Saccharomyces cerevisiae S288C: one gene and its partners. Changing the gene in region 4 together with the main gene of any one other region gives a genetic interaction. Each region holds a gene or a part of one and is shown on either strand. Other genes may lie near its edges. The genes, in order: EFM1, PET100, AZR1 and THI72.

Evidence for each region.
Region 1: mutations in THI72 (region 4) and EFM1 together harm fitness more than expected from each alone (negative genetic interaction), as found in Saccharomyces cerevisiae (one large-scale study listed by BioGRID).
Region 2: mutations in THI72 (region 4) and PET100 together harm fitness more than expected from each alone (negative genetic interaction), as found in Saccharomyces cerevisiae (one large-scale study listed by BioGRID).
Region 3: mutations in THI72 (region 4) and AZR1 together harm fitness more than expected from each alone (negative genetic interaction), as found in Saccharomyces cerevisiae (one large-scale study listed by BioGRID).

What each region holds. Positions count from the first base shown.
Region 1 is NC_001140.6:17,062-26,155, forward strand, and holds EFM1 (protein-lysine N-methyltransferase), read left to right. Parts: upstream 1-4,721; coding exon 4,722-6,479; downstream 6,480-9,094. Other genes in the region: YHL041W (uncharacterized protein), read left to right, coding at 331-780; ARN1 (siderophore transporter), read right to left, coding at 2,027-3,910; CBP2 (Cbp2p), read right to left, coding at 6,556-8,448; YHL037C (uncharacterized protein), read right to left, coding at 8,717-9,094. UniProt on the Saccharomyces cerevisiae protein: S-adenosyl-L-methionine-dependent protein-lysine N-methyltransferase that monomethylates elongation factor 1-alpha (TEF1/TEF2) at 'Lys-30'.
Region 2 is NC_001136.10:597,565-603,925, forward strand, and holds PET100 (Pet100p), read left to right. Parts: upstream 1-5,499; coding exon 5,500-5,835; downstream 5,836-6,361. Other genes in the region: phosphoprotein phosphatase PP4 catalytic subunit PPH3, read left to right, coding at 1-518; putative DNA-dependent ATPase RAD55, read left to right, coding at 904-2,124; SED1 (Sed1p), read left to right, coding at 3,229-4,245; SHU2 (Shu2p), read right to left, coding at 4,634-5,305; TFIIH complex subunit TFB5, read right to left, coding at 6,029-6,247. UniProt on the Saccharomyces cerevisiae protein: Required for the biogenesis of cytochrome c oxidase. Probably for its assembly into an active holoenzyme.
Region 3 is NC_001139.9:941,107-945,147, reverse strand, and holds AZR1 (azole transporter), read right to left. Parts: upstream 2,343-4,041; coding exon 501-2,342; downstream 1-500. Other genes in the region: AMA1 (Ama1p), read right to left, coding at 1-3; phosphatidylinositol-3,5-bisphosphate binding protein HSV2, read left to right, coding at 2,933-4,041. UniProt on the Saccharomyces cerevisiae protein: Transporter protein required for adaptation to high stress imposed by low-chain organic acids, in particular by acetic acid, and for resistance to azoles, especially to ketoconazole and fluconazole.
Region 4 is NC_001147.6:696,304-705,460, forward strand, and holds THI72 (thiamine transporter), read right to left. Parts: upstream 4,265-9,157; coding exon 2,465-4,264; downstream 1-2,464. Other genes in the region: translocase ULS1, read left to right, coding at 1-1,031; YOR192C-C (uncharacterized protein), read right to left, coding at 7,685-7,921. UniProt on the Saccharomyces cerevisiae protein: Low affinity thiamine transporter responsible for intake of thiamine. It is possible that the primary function is the uptake of closely related compounds and that thiamine transport is a secondary activity of these proteins.

The DNA of each region.
Region 1 (9,094 bases), on a different chromosome or scaffold from region 4:
CATATAAATGATGACGTAATTTTTACAAGAATGCCATATATTAACTTTTTAGGGCCAAATTAAGATTGAGTTGAAATATTCATTTTTACACTACTAATCTTTTTGAATGCGCGCAGTTTTCTAAGTATCAAGCTCTCTGCAATCTTGTATGAAAGATGCAGCTAGGCACATAGGAAATGAGAAATCATAGTTATTTTTATTTTTATTTCTCTCCGTAAATATGCACTTCATACAAACAAGGAAAAAATATGATCAAAGAAAGGCAAAAATAGTAAGTTCAGGCAATATAGAGAAAATAATTTATTTCTACAAGTAGAGGGGCGCAGTAGAATGCATTTGTATAGCATAGCCAAGTCAACAACAATACTGCGTTTTCTAAGGCATATTTTATTGCCATTTTTGCATCTCTCTATTCATTTTACTAGTTGCTTGTGCAGAATAATCTATGTTGGCTGGAAAAGTTTTTGGAAACATTTTTTTTTTTGCGGGCATAAAATAAAAACTCCGCTGTTCATCGCTTCCTACGCAATGTTCTTAGCCAAGCAAAAAATTATAGTTACAATGTTTGAGGTTTCTTCCGTTCTAGAGAAACTGCCGCAGAATATTTTACTGTTTCACTACCCTCTTCCTTCCAAAATGGGAAATAATTTATTAATGTCGTTCTTAACACAAAGATCGATCGATGAAAAGGAAATTGATGCATTATTACATCCTAATGCGGTCTATCGTTTCTGCAATATGAGAACCACATTCAGAACATTATCCTCATATGGCAAATAAACGAGATATCAAGATACCGGACCCCCTTTTTTACAGTAGATAAACCGGAGAATACCAGAGTATTTTCCAAATATAGAAAGAAAAGGGTTATTTCTAATTCTCGCTCTCTGTTTTTGGAAGACGAAGTTATTAAGTTTTTGCCTGCATTTGGAAACCTGCTGCGATTTCCTCGATATTGAAAAAAAGTAAAGGCCACAAGAAAAAAATTTTATAGTTGCCTTGGGATGACAAACAGCTGGATATTATTATTATTGGCAGTAGCCCTAGTATGTTGTAAAAGAGTTATTTACAAGATTTTCTTTTTACGAGGGCACGTTATAACGTTGGACTCAAGGGGAAAGTTTCTAAAGGCACAAATAAACATTATGGGCTTATGGAAAAGGTGCCAGTGACGTGATGGTTACGCCTCGCCATTCATGTTAAACGATGTAAATTACTTCTATTACAGGATATTTTCTTGCCTTCGTTTAGCGTATTATCAGCCCTTTTCTCTGTTTTACAAATAAGGAAAGCGCGACGTCAGCCAATGTGAATACCGTTTATGGTTCAACCTTGTCTACATTTAGCTACTTTTTTTTCTTTTTCGAAAGCATTGATGCGTTTGCTCGGTGATTACATCATAATTAGTGAACACACGCAGCAAACCGTGATCACTGCGAGTATTCTACTCTTGTCATCCCAGACTACAAGTAAATCATACTATCTCTTTACAAGCTGAATGGAATGGGGCTTAGCCGACTGGAAGGATAGGCTTGCCAAGGAAAAACAAAGAAAAAAAGGCGAGTGGATTTAAGATTCAGCGACCGCCTGTCTTCCCTTCCTTTTTCACCATAGTTGACATAACACTTTATCTTGTCTTTATATCTCTTCTCGAAGCACTTATGATAACCGACTTCAAAGTCAAGGTACATAATTATTCAACGCCTCTAATTTTTCACTTGTTATGAAGCAAGTGCTGAGACAACTGGCCAATCGATGTTATAAACAGGCAGAACAAAAGAAGTAAAGATATTACTCTGTTACGTAATATTAAGTAGTGCCGCACTATACATGTAGATATGCATATACTGTTATGGTAAAAGGAATATGCAAAGAACTAGACATTTCTGATCTTTTCTTTTCTTGGTTATGATCATTAGAATGGTAGAGTCTTGTAGAGAGGAAAAAGTAGGAGGTGACACCGTATATTTTGGGCAATATAGTCATGGAAAGTGATATCAAGCAATCATGCAACGTAAACATCAACTTATTCCCGTTTAAAAGTGAATTTTGATGGAAGTTTTTCAAACCAATCCAAAATTGGATCATTGTCTTTCGTGTCGACATATTCGCCATCCTCGATGTATTCCACAGCAACAGTATCAGTCAATTTAGGATCCCTTAGACATAAGGAGAATGCAATTAATGGAACACAAAATACTAAAGCCACGATAGTTTCCAATCTTTGAACGTATTTGTAAGCGTTCATTAAGGCATTCCTTTGTGGGGTACCCCAAGTATAGGTTTCAATGAAAGTATATGGAGATTCGTAGGCAGTTGTGGCTAGAGCAACATCACCCATTCTCTTCAAAATTTGTTTGTACAAAGTCTGAGTCCAAATGGCACCGGAAACTGCGGAACCGACAGCAGAACCAATTCTATAGAGGGTATAGTTTAAAGCTGTAACTGTCGCCATGTTTTCATGAGAGACGGCAGATTGTACAGAGACGGTAACTGGGTAAGTGAACAAAGTAGTGCCCACACCCCAGACACATAATGCACCAATAATACCTGAATGGGACTGACTTCCACCTCTAAAGTGGTACAATAAACCCATAGCCACCATCCATAGCGCGCATCCAAACATTATGAATGGTTTCAATCTCGTACATCTTGTTACAAGTAAAGCGAAAAATGGAGAGGCCACAGTAGAGACAAATGAAGATAATGTGGCAATTCTGGTTGCAGATTTAACGGATTCATTGACGGCAACAATCATAACCGTGTACAAATAATCAGCGGCCATATAGTAAATAAAATCAATCAGGAAAGAAATACCCATAGAAGACCATACAGCCCTATCTTTGACCAGCCTATATGGAAGAATTGGATCTCTAGCGAATCGATATTCCCAAATCCATAAGATAGGGATCAAAACAAAGCCAAGAACAAAGGGGCCGATCAATCTTGAATCATTCCAGGTAGTTTTGACCCCACCAGCCAAGGTCAGTGGGACCAAGATACAACCTAGGGAACAACCCATCAAAAGGACACCAACGACATCTAACATCCAAAATAATTGCTTTAAGATCTTAATAAAACCATGTTCTTGATAATAGGACTTCTGGCCCTTCAAAGCGTGCCATTCAGGAGTCTTTCTGGCCCTCCATTGCATGTGCAACATACACAAAACGATTGGAACACATGATAGGGGAAAGATGAAAGCCCACATACCTACATCCCAAGACCAGTTGACAACAGGATTGGCTCTGGAAGTGATATTACCAGCAATCCATGTGTTGATGATAAAAGGCCAAGTCGGGACAAATTGATACAGCAGTCTCCACTTTAAAGATGAAAAATCGGATAGGATAATCAAAAGAATAAGGATTACACCCACATAGCCAGCATTGTAGAAAATGGCACCTGCAGCGTATCTTTGAACATCATAAGCTTGTGATTGAATAATTGTACCCACAACATATAGGATGACAGCACTAATGAAAAGGTATAGTCTACCAAACACATCAGACAACCTAGCGTATATGATTTGCGAAGCGGCACTGACCACAGCATTAATGACGTTGATTGTAGACAGCAGAGAATGCTCACTATAGGATGATGTGGCGTAACCAGTGTAAATATAACGGATGTTACCGTCCAGTCCATAACCGTAGCCACATATGAAAGCACTCAAAAGTAAAATCGCTTGTAAGTACCATTTATTGTAAGCAGAGCCAATGATTTCAGTCTGCTGGATAATTAGGCTCCTGTTCTGTCTCAAGGCATTGTATTTTTCAGATAACTGAGGGAGACCATATGAGTCGGAGTTGGAATCGTTATGAGTCTCAGGATTCAACTCGTGTTCCATTCCCATGAAGACATGTTTCTTTTCCTCCTTAACAGGATCGCGAGAGTGAACAGACTCCATTAGTACGTTGCTATGCAGTGGCTTGAACTACTGTCCATATATTTTTAAGAAAGAAAACAAGAGATATAGTGAACGAAAGCAAAAAGAGAGCTATCGAATGTTTCCTCCCCTATATACAATTATTCCTGAAATCTTCAGTTCTATGCATCTTGCATTACTTCATGTAAACTGTACTCCGATTTGCTTGGCCTTTTTTTCTCTTTGACACTATTTTCCTAACGATATGTGCTTGTTATATCACACCTGCTTTTATGGGTGCATTTTGATAAATTTGCAATCCCAAACAGGAAAGAAGTGAAAAAGGCCAAGACATATGTGGCTTTCTAACAAATACAGGCACACAAATTTCGTAAGAGAACAAGTCCTAAAGATGAACGTTAATGATAATATACAATTGTCTTCTCATTTCTGTTGATGGATTTTCATTCGCAGGTGTATTTTTCCATCGCTTCGTGATAGAGCTGCCAGTACGCTTCATCGCGGTCGCTTACATGCGTGATATTTAGGGGATCTTTCATTGGCTTCCGATCAGATAATATGTATCATTAGTCAGCGGAAGTTACAGGTGGAAACCCTCCCCACCTTGATAGTTGTCTTGATTGTATAGGCCTGTAATCTATTACTATTATTCTATTGGAGTCCTGCTCGTTGTTCGTTCAAGGCGAATGTGCCTGCGATGAGTTGACTATGAAAAAGAAAATTTTTCAACTTGAACTTGACCATTCCAACAAAGAAGAAATGATGGAAGTAAAAAAGACTAAGGAATCAAGCTTGGTGAAGCTACCTCGTCATTTAATTAACGAACTTCTGCATGATCACCCAAACTGAGCTAGATAACTGCTTACAATGGGCTCAAAATAATGGAGCCTTCATCGATCCGAAAATCTCTTTTAGGATTACAGAGGATGCTGGTGTTAGTGCATTTGTAAACGAAAAATTCTCTCCCAAACCCGACCAAGCTTTGATTAGGGTACCCGAAACTCTGCTGATCACTTCCCAGCAAGCTTTATCAGAATTTTCCCAGGCTGCTAATGAAAGGAGTCTTTTGAATTCCGTGACACAGTTGTACTTGTCAAAGTTGAAATTTGGCACCGATGCAGTTCACCTGAAATCCTTTTACAAACCATATTTAGATGTGCTACCCTTGCACCTTCCACAACCATATTTTTGGTCTACTGATGAAGTCATGAATTTGCATGGTACAGACGTGTACTTAACTATGAGAGATACGCTGAACAAACTAGTAAAGGAGTGGAGGATGCTGTTCCAAGCTTTATCTATTGAACACTCTTCTCAAGATAAGCAGTTCTTGTCTTTATTCCAGGAGAATAAAGACTCTGCCGTAGTGCCGTTGGAACAGTTCTGCGCACACATCAATGGATGTAAACTAGAAGATTCGGAATGGAACTCGTTCGTGGCGTATCTTTGGTCGTACTGCATCTTTAATTCTAGGGCATTTCCTCGTGTCATTTTAGGCAGGGCCGGTACAGACCGCACCAATCTGAACGAAGGATTTTTGTATCCAATAGTAGATTTATTAAACCATAAAAACGATGTACCAGTAAGATGGGAGATGAATGAACAAAATGAACTTTGTTTCATGTCGCAGACTACCACATTTAGTGCACAGGATGAATTGTTTAATAATTATGGTAATATTTCTAATGAAAAATGTTTGTTAAACTACGGGTTTTGGGATTCCTCGAATAAGTTTGACTTCTCTAGGTTGACTTTAAAGCTACCATCCACCTTAGTTAGCGGTTTGCCCGTGGATTTTAACAAATCAGGTAATTTTGTTACTGACGATGGAGAAACTACCATTTTACAATTTAGTTTAAAAATTTCTGAACCATTACCACCGGTTCTACTAGCGTTATTTGCCTACCTAAGTAAATTAAAGTCTGAAGAAACTCCAACCGTAAGGAGCGTATTGGAAGGTATTGATCAATTAACATCTGTAGTATCCCAGAGATTGCTGTTTTATAAGAATTTTAAAATTAAAACTTCTTCGACTCAAAAATTACGCCCTCATGTTATTAAACTAATCAAACTATACTATCAAGATAACAAAAAAATTCTGAACGCCACTACTGAGAAATTGTCCGTTTTACAAAAAAAAATATATAGCAATAATAAGGAGTTTTCTCTGTCATTCAAGACAATTTTTAAAAACGACAAAATATTTGCCAATTCTCTCTTACTGGTATTTGGTGCTATAAATTACGAAGATTTGATCACAAAAGACTGTCTTAATGACGCATTGTTGCTCTGGATAGTCAAATTAATCAACGATAAAAGTAATAATCAGGGAGGTTTCATTAAACAAACCTTCAAAGAAGTTAGTGATTCAATTGTCATTGAAAAAGAAGATGTTATGGAGTTTTTGCCGTTCTATAAAAAATACTTCCCTAATTTATCGGAGAGAATTCCAGAAATTTATAGTGTCGGTGATTGGGGCATAAGACAGTTCATTGTGGCAGATACTGCGATTGATAGATTGGTTTGGATCAGGAAATCAAATAAAGAGCCTATATTTCTAATGAAGAAGGCATACGACTTACAGATTTAGCTTTGATCTGTAGCCTAAGTATAAAATTCTACGTATGTATATATTTACATGCAATTTTTTCTTTTTCCAATTCATGTTAATGTTCTTCATCATTTGATAATAGGCCAATGATATTATCTACTATCTTCTCCTTTTGAGGAGAAGCTGCTTTCACTTCCTCGTTGCTTTTCTCTTCGTATAAATACATGAATTTCGACTTGTCCAGCATTTTTTTATCAATACAATGCATGTGCCCATGAAGTTCTACCTCCGACAAATCTTTAACAAAATATGTCGTTATTTGTGTCATGAATTTCAGTAGGGTTTGAAATATTTCGGGTATGGCGTTCTTCTTATCCAGAATAACAATTTTGTAGTTTGCTGATAATGTTATTGGACGAAGCTGGATGGGCCTATTTACGCGGAACTTTTCGCCATATATTTCCTGTTCGAAGTATAAAAGTTGGTTGGCCAATTTCTTTAATCCGTTTGCAGATTGTAGCGATTGTTCATTCGCAAAACCAGGTTCTATTGTTGCATTTATTGACTCAGTGAAACCCACCAACTCCATTAAAGTTGGTCTTAAATCATCTTGCATAAACTTGTACAAGTTTGGCTGGAAAATTCTAATCATTTTCGATTTTGTCAGCACGGTTTGCAAAATTAATGTGATGTGTTCAAATCTTGATAAAGTCGTTTCATCATTTTGGAAAATAGAGAATTGGTTCCATTTCATTTCTGAAATTACCAGTGCGGAATATGTTTGTAGGTCATGAAGAAAAGAGTCGTATTTTGTCTTGTAGTTGATCAGAGAAGCTTGGTCCGTGGGTATTTTCATGGACTCGGTCTCTTGATATTGCTTCCATATATATGAGTCCCAAACATTCCAACTAAATTGAAAGGAAGGCGCATTATCGTTACCAGAGAAGGAACGGATGCTTTTCTTGTTACGTTGTAAAATGGTGAATATATTGTAGAGAATGAAATTTTTGCAAAATTCAGCCCTCAATTGCCGGATGGAGAAGTCGTTTGATAATATTGTAGCTCTTAAAATGTCTCCAGGGCACGTTCTGTCTTTGTTTGATTGTTTGCTCCACAATGTCTTATGGCTAACCGATCTTTCTAAAAGTTGCTTCAAAGTGACGACATTACCACCAGCGATTCGAGTTGTGGCACTGTTTGCATCCAGATAGAATGGTTTACCCTCTTCGTTCGCCAGTATCCGACCAGCGTTAGCCTTCTCAATGCGCTTTCGTTCATTCAAGGTGCAAAGTGGCGAAGCTATCTTGGTCTTCAATTTGTCTACCTCAGTAACGAAAAATTCTCTATGTTTATCTACAAAGTAAGGGAAAATACCAATTCCATCGAATTCCCCAATCATCGCCTCATCGGAAACCTGGAAAAGAGGCAAGGGCTTTGCATTAGCTGGGTTTACAAACATGGGTACCTCACCATTATTTTGTTCCAAGAGTCTATCGTAAGTGCTCTTCTTAACCCCGATTCCCCGACAAAAGTTTGAAAATATCGACTTAGGCCAAATTACACGCTGCAGTTTCAACTTATCATCTTTGCATCGTACCCTTATTAATTGTTGCCACTCGAAAGATGGCTTGAAGTCCTCATCCATTTCGCTGAACAACTTCTCGTAGAGACTTAAGGGGTGGTCAAACATAGGCGCAATCCGTTCCCAGTGTTGGATCCTCTTCTTCGAGGATTTTTGAGTTAGATCTGTTCTAACAATCTTGAATGCGTGTTCGCGAGGGGCGTTTATATCACGTAATAGCAGTTTTTGCAAGTCCGTGAGTGAAATATTATACAGTACTCCTTCAAGATCACAATATTCATAAGATAAGTTTGTCTTCTTAAACGCTTGCTTACAGCGAGGGAACACCTGATGTGTGATATTCTCCATGTTGAACTTATACCTGTAACGAGAGGAACTGCCCTGTCTCCTCAATGAGACCATGAACAATGTTTGCCAATTCACCATTTTGGTCACTCTGTCTCAAACCTTTCCTTCAGCGCAGCCTTACTCCTTCAAGAGAAGCCTTCATTGTCCATTCACTTAAGCATAATTTGTCATCTTCAATGCAATTGAACTTTCACTAAATACACCCATACACACCAATCTTGGATTCTACTCGGCGGCAATCTTCACTCTTTCCTTTGTTTTATCATTTTCTATTCCACCTTTAGTTCCCCAACTTCACCTCTTATCGAACTATCAACACATTTGACTATCATTTTGGCAAATTCACTCACGTGAGGGCGTGTGCTAACCATGCAAGGGTTATGGCATGCGCATCCATGTGGCGTTTCCTACTTTTATTTTTACATAATATATAAGATAATTGCACATGCAAACAGTCAATCTTTTTCCTGCAATTGATGTGGAGACCAAAAGGTTTGCATCTCCTAGTACCACGATTTTTTGGTGCAAAAGTGTTGATAATGTAATTCAGGTAGAAAAGGTAGAAGTTTCCTCTAGTATGTTCACAGATTGGATTAGAAAAAAAGATCACGCGACTCTTGCCGGAAAAAACTGTGGCGTCGCTGCATATATATGACAAATCAATCATATAGATTAGAGGCCTGCCTGAGTCAAGGGGCAAAAACAATACACATATAAAGACCTG
Region 2 (6,361 bases), on a different chromosome or scaffold from region 4:
GGAGGTACTGCTGTGAAGTTTTTGATTATTTATCATTGGGGGCAATAATAAACAATAGCATATTCTGTGTTCATGGTGGATTATCTCCGGATATGACCACGGTTGATGAAATACGAACAATAGACAGGAAACAAGAAGTTCCACATGAAGGTGCTATGTGTGACTTATTATGGAGCGACCCCGAAGACGTTGACACATGGTCATTATCACCAAGAGGTGCTGGATTTCTTTTCGGTAAAAGAGAAGTTGATCAATTCTTAGAGAAAAACAACGTTGAGTTAATTGCTAGAGCTCATCAGTTAGTGATGGAAGGTTACAAAGAAATGTTCGACGGTGGATTAGTGACAGTCTGGTCGGCACCGAATTACTGTTATCGTTGTGGTAATGTAGCAGCTGTATTGAAGATAGACGACGATTTGAATCGTGAATATACAATTTTTGAAGCTGTTCAGGCACAAAATGAAGTCGGAAATGCTATAATTCCAACCAAAAAATCTCAAATGGACTATTTCTTATAAATTTTTAACAGGCACTCTAATTGTCAAGTGCATTTTTCTTTTTTTCTTCATAATGCAATAAAGGAAAAAAAATTGTAATATTACATACTTCTTTTCACATCTTAGCTAATTAACAATATGGCTTTTGAATACTAATATATACCCAGCTACCGTTTCTTCTTTTATTTTTTATTCCTTTTTTTCTTCAGTAGAATATGTTATAGATGCGGAGGTCCCCTAAGTTCTTCACGTGTTCTCTTCTCATCGCGTTTGATATGAAAAATAGAAAAAAATACATAGTAGCATGACTAACTAATAATAAGCTCCGCTATCAAAGATGTCAAGTACATTAAGGAAAGCTTTTAGATAAGGAAAAGAACTTATTAATAATATATAATATGAAAATATGTCGCTTGGTATACCACTTTCCCAATTAATAGTAGAAAGTCCAAAGCCATTAAGTAGCGGCATCACAGGATTAGATGAGATATTAAACCTGGGATTCCAGGCAAGGTCGATCTACGAAATATTTGGGCCTCCGGGCATTGGCAAGACTAATTTTGGCATTCAATTGGTGTGTAATTCGTTAGAAGGCATACAACAATCGGAAATAAACGACGATAAAATTCTATGGATAGAAACATTTCAAGAAATGCCCATAAACATACTAAGAGAACGCTTTCAAAAATTTAAAATCGTGGAAGAAAATGTGAAGCGGGTCCGAATAACGAAATTTGGACAGCTATTATATTTCTTCCAGAATTTGTTCAAATTATCTCAAAGTGTGCGATATAAACTAGTTATAATTGATGGATTTTCTCAATTAGTCTGCGATCATCTGTGTACACTAAGTAAAAGAGGCGGCGGAATGATAGATAAAACTATACACGAGTTAAAATGTCGACATTTGATATTAATTTTTACGGTAATGACCAAATACACACATTCCACGGGTTCGACAATAATAGTTTTAAATGACTGTATGAACACCGCCTTCCAATCAAACGAATTCGAATCCTTGGAAGAATACTACGAAATTTTAGACGACGGATCTAACTTCTTTGTCAACTCTAACAACGAAAGGCGTAAGAACAATGTACATATATTGAAAAGCGCGCTCGTTGCCAATATCGCTATGGGAAGCAAGGATTCCACTTGGGAAGTATTTCTAAGAGACAGGATCGGCCTTTTTAGGGATTGGAATGAACAAGTGGACGAAACCGTTTTCGTGAAAAGCAAAAGAGTGAAGGCGTCATCCTCGCAGAGTAACGAGGGATGTACTACCATCAAAGAAATGAGAATAAACAAACGAAACTTTGAAAACTTGAGAATAGCTATTGTTTTTAATTTACACGGCGAAGATAGAAAAAGAGAAGGACGAAATTTAAAGCGGTCAAGAAGCAGCGACGATCGTAACTATATTGTCAAATTTGATTTTGATAAAGCAACAGGTCAACTCCGCGATATAATTGATCTGAAACCTGATACTGCTAATATTGCCTCATTTCCAACATTATCAACAAGCAGCAGCAGTTGCTCACAAGTGTTTAACAATATTGACTCCAATGATAATCCATTACCAAATGCGGAGGGAAAGGAGGAGATAATTTATGATAGTGAAGGTTAATAGTAAAATAAAAAAACCGAAAACCGAAAACAATAAAAAATGGAAAAACGACAACATTCCACCCAACAACTACAAAGAAAAGTTAAGGGTAATTTTACCTATTTAGGATTTTAATCTGTTGGAGTTAAGGTGAATACGTTTTTCCATATTGGGGTATGCAGCTCGAACCTAAAGTGGTATGTACACATCCCCTCAAGCACACCCATTACCCTTATAGGATTAATGTAAGCAACAGCTTACACGGAATTGGAAATACTATTCAACGATCCATGCATCTGCCAGATTCGGACATGCATATTCCCCAATTGGATATAGAAAATTAACGTAAGGCAGTATCTTTTCACAATGTACTTGCAACGCGGCGACTTAAAGTTGAAGTACAACCTGCAGCAGCGGCTTTTTGTACGGTACGCCAAACTGTCAATGGATAATATTGCGTAGACCGAAAAAGGTAATCCTCAACACTACCCGTGGTGGATGACCTAAAGCAGTAATATTGGTTGGAATTATCTCCCAGACGGCACCGTCTCCCCGAGAAAGCTTAGCCCCGAGGTCTACCTTCCATACACCACTGATTGCTCCACGTCATGCGGCCTTCTTTCGAGGACAAAAAGGCATATATCGCTAAAATTAGCCATCAGAACCGTTATTGTTATTATATTTTCATTACGAAAGAGGAGAGGGCCCAGCGCGCCAGAGCACACACGGTCATTGATTACTTTATTTGGCTAAAGATCCATCCCTTCTCGATGTCATCTCTTTCCATTCTTGTGTATTTTTGATTGAAAATGATTTTTTGTCCACTAATTTCTAAAAATAAGACAAAAAGCCTTTAAGCAGTTTTTCATCCATTTTACTACGGTAAAATGAATTAGTACGGTATGGCTCCCAGTCGCATTATTTTTAGATTGGCCGTAGGGGCTGGGGTAGAACTAGAGTAAGGAACATTGCTCTGCCCTCTTTTGAACTGTCATATAAATACCTGACCTATTTTATTCTCCATTATCGTATTATCTCACCTCTCTTTTTCTATTCTCTTGTAATTATTGATTTATAGTCGTAACTACAAAGACAAGCAAAATAAAATACGTTCGCTCTATTAAGATGAAATTATCAACTGTCCTATTATCTGCCGGTTTAGCCTCGACTACTTTGGCCCAATTTTCCAACAGTACATCTGCTTCTTCCACCGATGTCACTTCCTCCTCTTCCATCTCCACTTCCTCTGGCTCAGTAACTATCACATCTTCTGAAGCTCCAGAATCCGACAACGGTACCAGCACAGCTGCACCAACTGAAACCTCAACAGAGGCTCCAACCACTGCTATCCCAACTAACGGTACCTCTACTGAAGCTCCAACCACTGCTATCCCAACTAACGGTACCTCTACTGAAGCTCCAACTGATACTACTACTGAAGCTCCAACCACCGCTCTTCCAACTAACGGTACTTCTACTGAAGCTCCAACTGATACTACTACTGAAGCTCCAACCACCGGTCTTCCAACCAACGGTACCACTTCAGCTTTCCCACCAACTACATCTTTGCCACCAAGCAACACTACCACCACTCCTCCTTACAACCCATCTACTGACTACACCACTGACTACACTGTAGTCACTGAATATACTACTTACTGTCCAGAACCAACCACTTTCACCACAAACGGTAAGACTTACACCGTCACTGAACCAACCACATTGACTATCACTGACTGTCCATGCACCATTGAAAAGCCAACAACCACATCAACCACCGAATACACTGTAGTCACTGAGTACACTACTTACTGTCCAGAACCAACCACTTTCACCACAAACGGTAAGACTTACACCGTCACTGAACCAACCACTTTGACTATCACTGACTGTCCATGTACTATTGAAAAGAGCGAAGCCCCTGAGTCTTCTGTCCCAGTTACCGAATCTAAGGGCACTACCACCAAAGAAACAGGTGTTACTACCAAACAAACCACAGCCAACCCAAGTCTAACCGTCTCCACAGTCGTCCCAGTTTCATCCTCTGCTTCTTCTCATTCCGTTGTCATCAACAGTAACGGTGCTAACGTCGTCGTTCCAGGTGCTTTAGGTTTGGCTGGTGTTGCTATGTTATTCTTATAAACGGTGGTGTTTGACACATCCGCCTTCTTAATGCTTTCTTTCAGTATTATGTTATTTTTTTGTTATTCGTTTTTCACTTCTAGGCTTTTTGACAGACTAGCCCCGTTATACCACCATCTTTGTGGGAAAGCCCCTAAATTGCCCTGAGCAGTATCGTTTCATGTCTAGTCTCTTTAAAGATGTTTCTTACGCGTTGCGTGTAAAACATCCTCTCATTCAAGACAGGGTTTTCTAAAAGCAATAGGGGTAGTTTAATAATTCTTATATAATCATCATATACACTATTTTTAGTTCTTAATTCTTTAATACAAACTTATTAATGTGCTCTCCATTGATCTCTTAATCAGGAGGCGATATATACCGGAAGCGGTGTACTTTTCTTCACCTCTTACTCAACTATGTTGATGTGCAAGTTTAACCACTCGTCGATATTATCTATTGCTATAACGAAAACTTTATTCGAGTTCACAGTGAAAAACTTCAGCACATTTATGGAAGATCTAAGCAAAATGGAGAACGCCAGTAGATGCGAACAACAAACTTTATCAAATTTGAAATACCACTGCTTTGATAAGCTATGAGGATCCAGCTGTGCAAACCTATCATCCGAAAATTGCAAATGATCATCAACTTCATTTATTAGCACATCGTGTAATTCTTCTTTTTCGTCAGTTTTTTCTAGTGCTTCATGAAAGTATTTACAAAACTCTTCACATGAGCAGAACCAGTGTGCGATATCTACGAGTATTGGTGGCGCTCCATCATTAGTATCCTTCACTATTAAGCGATACTCCAGGAGCGAATTAGATGAACCCTTATAAAATTCATCAACTAACACATCAATCAATGATGTATGCTCATTACCTTCCTTGTTATGGACTCTATCTAATATGTATATAAACATGTCTGAAGATTCTAGTAATGAAATTGCTCGAATAAATAGTTCCCTTGGAAACATATAATATAAGAAGGATGCTATTGTATCATCCAGTTTTGTATCATCGTTTGTGTTAACCAGTTTAGCAAATAATTTAGAGTATTCTATTACATCCTTCGACATACTCACCCTTGTGACTTGTTCTTTTCTCCCTATTTCTTCTTCATCACCAACACTTTTGCTTTACCGGCTTGACCTTAAATGGTTATTTTTTCCCGTATAATTCCAATATATCAGCGCATCTTGCTGATATTTTCTGTTCTATAACAATTTAATAAGGGCTGACAAACAAAAGTAATCACTTCGACAAGTACAAAATGGGTCTATTTAATAACTTCAAGTTTAAATATACAAGGGCGCAACTGGAGATCTTTAGATTTTCATTTTGTTTGCTAGCACCTGTTGCTGTAATGTACTATATTGGTACAGATACTGATAAAAAATTAAATGTTCCAGGGTTTTGGCCAGATCCTGCAACGTTGAACCAAATACCAAAAGAGCCTTATGAGATTAAAGCTGAACTGGCAAGGATGAAAAAAGAACGTTTAGAGAAAAGGCTTAGGTTGGAGAAAAAGATACAAGAGGAGTTTGGTTTAGACCTTGAGGAGGAAAAAGAAAAAATTAAACGGGATTTGGCTCTCAAAAAAGGATGAGAAAAGAAAACGGTTAAAGATGTATACTTGCACCTGACCACTTTTTCTTCCTTATATTTATTATTCTAACATGTACATACCTGTATAGTCGTATTTCCACTAGATCATCACTTCCCCTCTATATTCATGTCTGACCTGGTTATGCAGGTCATGCTCTATTCAAATAGTATTGAAAAAGCTGAATGAGCAATAATTACTGATTTTCTTCTTCATCCATAGGATTATATATATTCTTAGATAATAGCCTATTTAGCTCATGCTTAACAAATTCGACTTTCGAGGGATTTACTAAAAGATGGGTGTCATCCAACTCCTCTAGTACTATATCACTCATCTTGGCGTCAATTTGTAATATGAGCGCCTTGATGGATGGATCACATTGAACCAGTGCACCCTTTCTTGCTCTAGCCATTTTTTCGTTCTTTTACAAAAGTATCTTGGCTTTGTCTCTATTGGGAGTACACTTCTATCTTACTGCAGTTTGCTCGTCTTTTTTCAATAATACGATACAAAAGAAAAATTAAAA
Region 3 (4,041 bases), on a different chromosome or scaffold from region 4:
CATATTTTTTTCTTTTTTTCTGATCCAAAGTTTTGTAAAACTTTAAAAGAGTTATATAAGCAAGTATTATTATCGTTGGAGGAAGAAAATTTGACCTTCCTTCAACTTTTGATTTTTTATTTTTTTGTTTCCAAGGATTAAAGTGTTCTTTGAGTACTAATCGTTCATCATTTTATTTTATTTTTGGCGCCTTAAAAATGGAACAAGGCAGACGCCGAAAAATACAAAAACAAAAGTCGAAATAAAAAGGGAAACTTCTATTGAAGGTGACATAGAGGCATTGACGCTCTTGCTATATGAACGTCGTTTATCATACCAGTATAAAAATCTAAATTAACTATTTAATAGCTGTACTCATACTGTCTCGGATTACCCTCTTACTGTTATCGTTAGTTGTGGTACACAATTCAGCAAGCTAAACAGCCAATTACTAAAAGTCATGTTTATTTTTTCTGCAGCTTTACACTTTGAGGCTCGCCACCTTCTAAATCGTGCTTAACTTATCTCAGGCTTGCTGTGACTTTCTTATTTGAAGCAAAAACAGCAAAAATGAGAGATAATGCATAAAATCCTAATGCCATGTAAAAGACGTCAGTGAGAGATTCAGAAATTATATTGCCCAATTTGGAATGAGAGCCATCGAAATTGGTCTGCCTATAGATTACCAGATTGTCTACCGTGGTACCATCTGGGAGCTGAATATTAGCCTTGGTTAATTTCTTGATAGCAGCAGCACTGAAAACAGTGTTAGAGATGACACCTCCCAGTGCTTGACCTAGATTTTTGCAAAATGTGTTAAAAGTGGTAATAGAGACAAAATCTGATCGAAAAGTTGGGCTCTTCTTGTCTAACTGAATTTGAGAAGCGAGCATGGAACTTTGTGCCAAACCACCGAAAGCAACGCCAGGTAATATCAAAAGGCCGATGTGAGCAGAGTTATTGGCATTATTGTTCAATAGGGTTAATATACCCGCACCAACAACACCAAAAATGCTTGAAATAACAATAATCGGTTTGATTTGGCGGGTTTTGTCGGTGATAGCACCGCAAAGTATTGCTGTAACGACTGTAGAAATAATGCAAGCAACCAGGTGTACAGCGGCTCTCCAGGCGGAATCATTGTAAATTAATTGGAAGTATTGCACAATATACGTAAACTGACTGATATATCCTGCACAAGTGAGAAACAAGGCTATATTAACCGTGAAAATACCTGGTTTCTTGATATTTGTCCATGACATTAATGGTTGGTAATGTGGTGTTGCTTTCACTATATTAAATTTGGGGAAGACAAGGAAATCATAGATACCTGCTAACACTACCAGGACTATACCGATGATGAAAAGAATAATGATGGATGCAGAGTTCCAAGCATACCGGTTACCGCCAAATGTGAAAGCCAATAGAATACATGTGAATCCAGCTGAACAAAACACAAACTCGATAATATCATACATGAAAATCAATTCCATGAACGGCTTTCTCCACCCATTAAGTTTGCTAAACCCTTTGATTTTCAATAAATGATATGCTACATTCCGAACAATTTCGATAAACTGTGATGGAAATTTGCGGATGTTATCCATTGTCTCTTGAAATGTACTTAAACCTGGGTTATAAAAGAACAGGAATAAGAAAAATGCTAGGCCACCGATCGGTAAATTAACATAGAAGCACCATCTCCATGTGACGCTGGAGGTGAAAACTCCTCCAAGGAAAGGCCCAACAACAGATGCAATAGCAAACGAACAACTCAAAACAGCAATTAGTATGCCTCTCTGCGACTCCTCTACCAGGGTTGAACCAATGACGAACGATAAACTTTGAATACCACAACCGCCGACTCCAGCAATAACTCTACCACCAATGAGCATACTCATTGAATTTGCTAAAGCAGAGATCAGCGACCCGATTTCAAAAATGACAATAGCAAATAGCATGGTCTCCTTGAATCCGATAGGTGTGGCAATTCTTCCCCATATCAACGCCAACAGAGCGTTTGGTAAGCTATACCCGGTAAATAACCACCCGATCTCAGAGTACGATCCAAACTGTTTAGCTACTTCTTCAATGATTGTAGAAACTATCATGATATCCAAGGCTGCCAGAAACAGCGACAAAGCCAATGCTATCAAAGATGCGTACAAGATAAACCCTTTAGGTAGTTCATTACTTTCGCTGGCGTTGTCCTCGAGCACCACGCTCACGTTTTGTTTTGATGTTGACTGCGTAGAATTTCGTCTCACAACATATTGTTTTTGCTGTTTCTCGTTCTGTTGTTGTGCTTTCTCACCGTAGTATGAGAGGTCGCTCATGCTGTAAGTCTTAGGTTCGCCTTTCATTGGGCTGCAATTTAGATACTAATGTAGACGTGGTGTTACTACAATTGTAGAAGAAAAGATACAAGATTTAAAGGACGTTGCAAGAGGGTACGGAAACTCTAGCATTATATATAATCAATTGATACAGTGCCGATTCTTTGATATAAGACATTTTTCTTTAAATTAATGTAGTGGTTCTGCTTGACACTTTTTATTGTATTTCCAGCCATAGCATATAGAAGCGCGGAAATACAGCGGATATCCGCTAGTTGGCGGAAATAATGCAAATTGGTAAGATCCTATGGTAACAGTGCAAGAAAGGGGCCTGAGTTAAAAAGAGAAAATGAGCCTATCCTAATGATGATAGCCAGGTTCATATTAACGTTGTTTACCTTTGTGTTCAAGATCAGGGGCTTTTGGCAGTATCTGAGCGAAATGAAATAAAGAAATTGATAATCACGTGATCACGGCTTTCTGGCTTGTAAAGCCGGTTATATTTATTTACCTTAGTAATACGTACTGCGGGGGCTATTGTTAAAGGGAAGAGAAACCAGAAGATCTGGAAAGGCAGCGATTATTAGAGGACAACTATAAGCATACATAACTAGCAGATGGATGTTCGTCGACCTATAAGGGAGGCAGTCAACAACAGGAGGAAACCAAAATTTTTGAGCGTTTCGTTTAACCAAGATGATTCGTGTTTCAGCGTGGCGTTAGAGAATGGATTTCGTATTTTCAATACAGATCCATTGACTAGTAAGCTATCGAAAACATTTAAAGAGTCTGCGACCAACCAATCCAGGGGCACTGGGATTGGCTATACCAGGATGCTTTATCGTACGAATTACATCGCACTAGTCGGAGGTGGTAAACGACCAAGGCATGCTCTAAATAAACTGATCATCTGGGATGATCTTTTGCAAAAGGAAACGATTACTTTGAAGTTTATGTCTTCCATTAAAGACGTGTTTTTATCTAGGATTCATATTGTGGTAGTCCTGGAGAACACAATAGAGATCTTCCAATTTCAAACCAATCCTCAAAGAATTTGTCCTATTTTGGATATCCCTCCCAATGGATCAGTGGACTATGTCGTTTGTAGCAGCAAACATCTCCAGTCGCAAGCATCGCAGTCACAGTCTAAAATCTTAGAAATCATTGCATTCCCATCGAATAAATGCGTAGGCCAAATTCAAGTAGCCGACCTATCACAAATAAAATATAATTCACAAAACCCGAAGGAATCAGCGCTTTTGCCCACTTCCATCATTAAAGCACATAAAAATCCCATCAAACTGGTTAGACTGAACCGTCAAGGCACCATGGTAGCAACATGTTCCGTCCAGGGTACACTTATAAGAATCTTCAGTACGCATAACGGTACTTTAATCAAAGAATTTAGAAGAGGGGTGGACAAGGCGGATATTTACGAGATGAGTTTCAGCCCCAATGGTAGTAAGTTGGCCGTATTGTCAAATAAGCAAACATTGCATATTTTCCAAATTTTTGAAACAACCAATACAGAAACGAATACACCAGACCACTCTCGTGCCAATGGTTCGAGCCATCCCTTGAAAAATTATATACCGAAGGGCCTATGGAGGCCCAAGTATTTGGACTCTGTGTGGTCGATATGCAATGCTCACTTAAAGAACCCAATCTTTGACGCTCACAGAAATGACAACAGTGGTGATGTAACTCACGATAACGAGTTCTATAA
Region 4 (9,157 bases):
ATTCAGAATTAGTTGTGATGGGAGAAAAAAAAGCGGAAGGTACAAAGGTAGCTAACGGCAAAAGCTTTGAAGATGACTGGCTCAGGCTCTACTATAAAATCACTCACATGAGCGGAGAAGCGCAGGCTCAGGTTATTACTTCAATGAATTCTATGACATGTTTCTGGTGCATGGAACAATTAGAACCAGAAGCGATGTCCGTTCTGACAGGTTGTGGTCATTTGATTTGCGACACTTGTATCGAGCCCTTCATCGAAGAGTCATCCATGCTACCTCAGGCCAAGAAAACCAAAGGTGGGGCATTTGCTATCCCATGCAAAGATTGTCAACGTTTGACAAACGAGAAAGATATTGTTTCGCACAAGTTATACGACCAGGTAATAAACCAGGGATTTACTGAGGAAGATTTGCATGCAGAGTATTTAAGTGAAATGGAGAAACAAAAAATACAGCAAAAAAATGTATATGTGCCAAATTTTGAGAGTTTAGAACCATCTACGAAGATAGAGCAATGTATACAGGTTATTCAAAGAGTTTTTGATGAATCAGCAACCGAAAAAATTATTATTTTTTCCCAGTTTACAACATTTTTTGAGATTCTCGAACATTTTCTCAAAAATAAACTGAATTTTCCCTACTTGAAATATATTGGATCAATGAACGCTCAGAGAAGATCAGATGTTATCAACGAATTTTATCGTGACCCTGAGAAAAGGATACTTCTGATTTCCATGAAAGCCGGTAACTCAGGACTAACATTGACATGTGCGAACCATGTAGTTATAGTTGATCCATTTTGGAATCCTTACGTCGAAGAACAAGCTCAAGACCGTTGCTATAGAATTAGTCAAACAAAAAAAGTCCAGGTGCATAAATTGTTTATAAAGGACTCTGTTGAGGATCGTATTTCTGAATTACAGAAGAGAAAGAAGGAAATGGTCGATTCTGCCATGGACCCAGGCAAGATAAAGGAAGTGAATAGTTTAGGGCGTCGGGAGTTAGGATTTTTATTTGGTTTAAACGCTCTTTGAAGAACTTGGTGAATTTTGAAGCATTATTGCGATACACATATGTATATGTTGATAATTGGTGGCTAAGCTTCTAGTTTGTAGGCTTAAGTAACTTCACTCGTTGGCACTTACGAGCTTGGCATTTAATGGAACAGAAAATAAGCCGTAAATCGGCCCTACTTTAAGTATAAGAAATATGCGAAATTTGATATGATCGTTTGAATTACTTTTTGAAAAAGAAAATACCATTAGTAACATACAATATAAGAAGCTCGTCTCCTGGATTTGGAAATCCACAAAAGATTATCAACAATGCCACGAATAACATAATTGCTTCCCCCTCCTGTTAATTGCTTTAACTCATTATTGCATCGTTAACAGTTGTTACTAAATTTGATTTTTGTTTCTCATCATATATGTAATCTTCAAACGCCAGTATAATTATACGCTCGCAACAGCTACCATACATTAATGAACCGATGAAAATATCCCGTTTGATGATAACTGGCAATTAAATGACAGTATTAATTAATAATCAAAGCTGATCTTATATTCCTATAAAAGAGAAGCGTATAAAACACACGTGGATTGGGGGTGCTTTATACGTAAACTGTGATTTCAGTAATTTTCGCTGTAAGATCAAAGTAAAGACACATTCCCTTATATGTAAAGTTCAAATTCATTGTTCCACTAATAGACCGTCAACTTTTCTTTTGGATTTTCAGCCCGAACAGGTTGCTTATTATTAACTTCCTTACAACAAGGTACAGTCAGTGCATTATATAGATCTATACAACCATGTGCCTTTGTGTTTTCTAAGGCTATACTGAAAATAAATTGGTAATTTATAATTTCTATCTTCACGCGCTTTCTCACTAACAAGACTTGACCTCTCAAATAAGTGGCGCAGATGCTCTAGAAAAGGTTTCTTATCAAATAAGTTTTGCTCTTTAATCGCACAATGCAATGCAAGTTATTTTTTTTTTTTTGATTTAATGACTTTCGATTTCCTCTCATAGGCAACCGGTACTTATCATAAGTACGTAATAAGAAAAGTATGTCGCAGGACGTCATAAGCTCAGACTTGAACAAAAGAGTAACAAAATCGCCTCCACCTAATTTTCAGCCCTACTAGAGCCTGATAGGATATCGGCACTGAAGCTGATAAGAGAATCAATGAAAATATCATCCTCAACAGAAATACTGAAAAGAAGCGGTAGTTTTTTTTTCTTGTTACAATTATCAGCCAAACAAAAACAGTGATCTGAATCGTCAATCAAACATTAGTGGAAGAATGAAATAATCGAAATGACCTCTATATCCTGTACGACCAACAAGCTTAATAGTAGTGTTTCCTGGGACTAAAGAGTGTGTTTAATTATCTCGAATTTTAATACTAGCGAAAGATCTTGAATGAACACTAAGTATGATCATTTTATTAGGTTTTTTGCTCATTAGGCAATTTGTTTTTCACTGGAAGTAGAGGATTCCTTTTCATTATCTTTCTGATGAACAATTTCAAACACTTTTGTGTTTTCTGAACTAGTTTTTGTCAACTCAGGTAGTTCATCATCGGAGCTCTCAGGTTTGTATTCGTGTCCACTTGTGAAGCATTCGCCTAATGTGTAAGCACGGATTTCTTCTTCAGAAATTTCACTGTATGGAACCATGCCCTTCTTCCTTGCTTCTTCGTCGGTAAACGCACCGTAGTAATCTTTGTCATCATGTTTGACAGTAATTTTGAATGGGAAGAGGAGGCATAGTCCCCAATAGACGAAAAAGGAAATCAAAAAGGAGAAGAAAGAATCACCATAGAAAAAATTTATAATACCAGTGTTGTGGAAATAGTCATTATTGACTTCCCAAGCGATACCAGGTAGACCGGGAGCCATACCACACACCCAGGCAACGATAGCTCTCCAGTTGACACCCTTGGTAAAATAGTATTCACCCTTTAGAACAAAGGCATTGGTAACGGAGTATTGTCTCTTCCTGATGAGGAAATTATCACAGATCATGACAGTGATAATAGGTGTCATTACGACACCGAAAGAGCTCATAACAGTCAAGAAAGTAGAAGAAGAGTTGTAAAAGTTCCATGGCAAACAGGCCCAGGAGACGCATGCGGCAAAAATAGCACCTCTCTTAATATCAACATATTTCGGTAATAAACCAGCCAAATCCATACCACTGGCAAACCCACAGTTGGAGATGGTATATGAAATTTGAGACATTACAAAACAAAAACCACAGAAGAATGTAGCTGCACGCGCGCCTGCAGAATAGTTAGTTGTCAACCAGTTGTCAAAGATGTCCATAGGCATCCAAAATGTTTGACCGTATAATTTTTCACAAGCAGAAGCACCAATGATACCGAATACTGGGATCAAGGTTGCTGGTATTAGTAAAGCAACTATAGTACCAGTCCAGATAGCGCAATTAGAGGAACCAAATCTGGAGAAGTCACTTTGATTGGTACAGCCTGGAGAAACAGAACCGTACCAGTACGAGATCGTATAAACCCAAGCCCAAGCCTTTTTAGAGCCAGTAACTGTGGAATGAGTAGAAGTGAACAAGTCACCAACACCATGTGCGCTCTTAGTTAAGTAAATTACCATACCCAACATGGCGAAGAAAGTACCAACACACGACCAAATTAAAATATAGTTCATATGGTATGGCTTCATAAAGTAACAGAACGCGGTAAGGATATGGAAGATAATGAAGCCGATCAATTCCTTGGTGGTCATGGCAACTTTCGAGGACAAAGTATTGGGCAGATGCAAATAGTGGTGAGACCAAGAATCTAATATCATGTTTACACAAAGCCCACCTAACCAAGCGTTGGAACCATAATAGACAATACTCATCAATATTCTGATAATGATACCAAGAGCTGAACCGTAAATCCCAAAGACGAATCTTTGAGCTAGAGTGAAGCCGACCTTCCAGTCATAGCCAGGACAAGAGTTGGCTAAAGCAAACAGGATGGTCAACAAATCAGCAATAATAAACGCACCGATGGTCTCTGAGTAACTTAACCCAACAGTTAATGCAGACGAACCGCCTATCCACATACCAACGTTGAAGGACAGAACACCCCAATACGCAAAATTAGACCAAAACCCCCACGTTTGATTAACAGACTTGATAGGTTGCAAATCAGGGTTCCTTAAAAAATTCACGGAGGCCCTATTTTTAACAGGAATTTCCAAAAATCTCAAAGCCCTGGAGATTCTCGTACCGAAACTCATAATGGTGTAATGCTAGAGTTTTTTTTGCTTGATAGTATATCAGATATGAGAGCAATAGATGATGATACAAGTTCTACAGTGGAAAATAACATGGTACACGCTCTTGGCAACATTGAAATTACAGCTCTCATATATAAAAAATGGAAAGAAAAAAGAGAAGAAAAAAGAGAAGAAATGAATTCTATTATGATAGCGAATGCAAAATATTCGTCCACATTCTTTTATCTATTGTCTTCCTTCTTTCTGTGCAACTACCAGAAAAAGCTATTTCATCTAGTCGAGTAGACTAATTAATGAATTATCTCGTCTTCCATATAAATTAATAAGGCAACCAGCAGGAGACGCCTATTGTTAAGCGTATTACGAAACCTGCGGATCTGTGCGCTATTGTTATGCCAGTGAAGGAGCCTGTCATCATGCACTCATGTGCCCGCGCGCGCGCTTCTGTGACTACAACTTATTGTAGGGCGTAGTACACTGACGCCTAGCGCTCAAAATACACATATGCAGTGTGGCCGACTATGCGATGAAGCGGAACAGTCTATCTTATGTGAATGGTTGCAAAATGCCGTTATATGGATACTACGGTGCGAACACGTATTTATAATAGGATAATCTTGTATCTATTCGTTTTATGCTACTAGTTCTAACCTTTAGGAAGTGTCCTTCACAATATCAGCCCTACATGCAGTGGTCTTCGTAAATCCTGTGAGGTTTTGTCTCATTTCTCTATGCTGGAAGGGCTTCGTAGAAGATTCCGCAAAATAATGGAATTGAAGCCCTGCGCCAAGCAAGCCTCACGAGGATCGTCGGTTCTGAGACGTAACCACGCTCTTGAATCTTGTTTATGTGATCAGCAATGACGTCTTCGGTGGTAATACCATTTCATTCCGGAAAAGATGAGTTTGTAGTCGGTTAGGGAGTACCGTGGCGTCCTTTCCTATTTCTGCAAATTTGCTGTCCATGTTGGCAACTACTCTCAAAGGTGGCAACTGCTTAGTAAATAGCCATATCGCTCAGAGATACATATCAAGAAACTCTAGCCAGATGATCACGAATCCCGAAGCGATGTAATTTTCCGTGAGGCAGTCCTGAATCAGGCCGTAGATTGACTATTAGCATCTCTTTTTGAGTATGCTAAGAAGTAGAGGGCTACCTTATTCCCACACACTTTTTACCACGGGCGAAACATTTATTTTCAAGTCCCAGCACAGTGATGGGATGAAGTCCAGGATGCGTCATACGGTCCTATGGCAAACTTCGGGGAAGGTTTAATATGCTGCTTTCAAGCAGGATTAACGGTAATCAACTCCCTAGGCAAATTGGCTCAACTCTGCCTATCTATCCACTGAGGATTTCAAATCCACCGAATGGGAGAATATGTCAGTGTCCATTTTGGAGTAAGGTATGAGTTCTTTTTTCGTCAGCTTTTCTTCTATATCTTACAATTGCTTATCTTAAACCACCGATATTTTTGCAGTCCCTTCATCATCGAGCACAATGGCCTATACGTTGAAATTTTGGTTTTGGTTTGAAGCCCACTCATCTTGGCATCGCTGACGTGTTTTCTTCCAAGATTTAAAGAGGACTACTCGGTGCAGGTGGACATCTCGAATGAATATGTTACCTAGCTTGATCTCCTCCATCAAATTACAACCTTTTTGCAGTGAATTTTGATACATGGATTTCGGAGCTTAAACACGTATTAACTGAAATTCAGGCATGGCGAGAAAATTCCCATCAGAACTTGAAGAATACTCTAAATACTACTGAGATAAACCGAGAGGTGACGTGAAATTCTTCCCAGATGTTCAATATATTATGAAAAACCATCCAGCTGAATTACCTCATTTGCAGATCAATTTCAAAGGCTTCGGTTCGGGGATAATGAGACATTCTGTCCAAAATGTCCCATTTATTACAGCCTCGGAATTAAGGTGCTTGATACTGTTCTCATAAACATGTGACTGCATTGGTGGTTGATGGAGTAATGATACCACTGAGCGGTTTCAAATGCTAAAAGTCTTTTGAAGCTATCACAGTTACCCTCGGATTTGGCAGTCTAATTCAAGTGCCGTAGATACCGTGGCATTGAAATATTCGAGGCAGTTATTAGCAATGCTCAAGAGGATATTATGCGGAGTGCTACCCTATTTGCATTTTTATGATGTCATTGACGATGCGAGAAAGTCTAACATGATTAGATTGGCACCTGCACATTATATATTGCGTTTCTGAACTTGTACATTGTAATGAATGTGTTTAGGAAACCGATGAGTAAATCATAAACCAAGGTGGGATCTCATTATCAATTTTTTTTTCATATCAGTTACAATAAATATAACTTGAATAATTTTTCAATGATTGTCGAATTTCTAAAACATTCACACATTCTGAGAATAATAGAGCAAGGTTTTCGAAGATACAAACCCCATTAGCACCCTAATTTGTTGTACTTGTGTTTTTTCACCACTAGCACATCGTTTTACGATTCTTGAAAGGCTAGATGGAATAGTGCAGAGCCCAAAGGATAATATCCATAGTTAAACAGCCGTTCTTTGCGACCTGAATGATTGCTTACTTTGATTTTGTTGCATTACAGGCTTTGGTAATAGCAAAGTTTGTCGCCAAATCTGTTTTACCGTTAGAAAAGCTACTTCTCTTCAAGACGTCATTCTCAGCTTGACCTACAGAATGCTACTTATCCAACATATCACGTAAAATCTAAGATATACTATATGATAGAAGCGCAGATTACCGGATCTAAAATAATTGTCTGGGTATTTATTCATGTGGGTTATTTATCCAAGCAAGAATTTGACCCAACGTGCTCTATCTTGTTTGATTCACTAAGGTTTCTACTGTGAATTCTACGAATTTTGTGATAATGGTAGGGTTTCCATTCTTTTCAAAGGCTGTAATATTAGGTATACAGAATATACTAGAAATTCTCCTCCAGGATATAGAAATCCCCAAAATGGAATCGGTAGTTCAACAAATAATATTACGATTATTTCTCAATCTTTATGCCATCTTCTTTCACCGCATGTAATAGTATACTAGTAACACTAATACTATTTAACAGATGACATTTTAGAGTTGGAGGAGAACTTCTAGTATATTCTGTATATATAATATTATAGCCTTTATCAAAAATGGAATCCAAACAATTATCTCAAAATTCACCAATATCTTACGTTGATTCTGTTGGAACGAGAGTAATTAATAGTGACATGAGTTGCTATGGTAACAATCTAATGCTTACATCGTATATTAATGTACACCTCGTATACGTTTAAGTGTGATTGTGCCTATTGCAGAAGGAATGTTAAACGAGAAGCTCAGACCATACTGAAGCTGTGTTAAAGACCTATTAGTTGAACATGATATGGTAGGTACATATATGAGGAATATGAGTCGTCACATCAATGTATAGTAACTACCGGAATCACTATTATATTGGTCATGATTAATATGACCAATCGGCGTGTGTTTTTGAAAAGTGGGTGAATTTTGAGATAATTGTTGGGATTCCATTTTTAATAAGGCAATAATATTAGGTATGTAGAATGTACTAGAAGTTCTCCTCAAGGATTTAGGAATCCATGAAAGGGAATCTGCAATTCTACACAATTCTATAAATATTATTATCATCATTTTATATGTTAATATTCATTGATCCTATTACATTATCAATCCTTGCGTTTCAGCTTCCACTAATTTAGATGACTATTTCTCATCATTTGCGTCATCTTCTAACACCGTATATGATAATATACTAGTAACGTAAATACTAGTTAGTAGATGATAGTTGATTTTTATTCCAACATACCACCCATAATGTAATAGATCTAATGAATCCATTTGTTAGTTAATAGTTTAAATGTTTTTATCGGAAGAGGTTTTGTCATCACATCAGCAATGTTCTTATTGGTCTCGATGTAGTATACGTATAAATTATTACCTGATACTTCATCTCTAAGTCTCATTGCCTTCGTGCCAAAAAATCTGTTTCTAAATTTCTCTTCATTTGTAGACTTAATTATACTGATCGTTGATCTACTATCAGTAAGTAAGCCTTTAATAATTGGTTTCTTGTTAAGTTCTTGCACAAGGTGACTGAGGTTATTCAATAGCGGTATAGCTTCACTGACTGCGTGTATTTCTGCTTCTGTAGTTGAAGTGCATGTTAACGAAGCCTTTGTCGACTTTCCTCCAATCACTTTTCCGTTGAGTAGGAAAATGTTACCAATTTGTGACTTGTAATATGGTTGGTTACCATATGAAGCATCGCTTATTGCGACTAGTTTATTATCTGGCTTGGTAGGTTTGTTTTTGTGCCATATTAATTGTTTATCTCTAGTGTCCCACATGAATTGTATTAACTCATATGTCATGTCTAAAACTTGCCTAGAGGGGAATAGTATATGTTGAGCAAGTGTGTTGATGTAGTATAGTAAGTCAAATCTAAATTTATATCCAACATATGAAGCTAGACCAATCAACTTTTGCATTTCATGCACTTTCTCTTTGTATTCATCTTCATCTATTTCTAGTTCATCCTGGTCTATATAATGACCTGGTTGACCTGGAGCTCTAAGTTTCTTTCCTTTTGGGTTCAAAGGTACGTTTAGTTTGGGTAATTTTTCTGTCAAGGATTTTTCCATACCTAATTTCATGTACTTGCTTCTTTGATATTTGATCTCTAATCCAAGTATGTCGTACTGAATTTCGTTATCACCTTCACCCAGATTTATTATCTTTGTATCGTATTGTTTCTTGAGTGTTGTTATGATTTTCTTATTTGCATTTAAGTCTTTGCTAAATAAAATCATGTCGTCAACGAATAAGCAAATTGTTACTTGACTATTCTTAAATACGCATGACCATCCG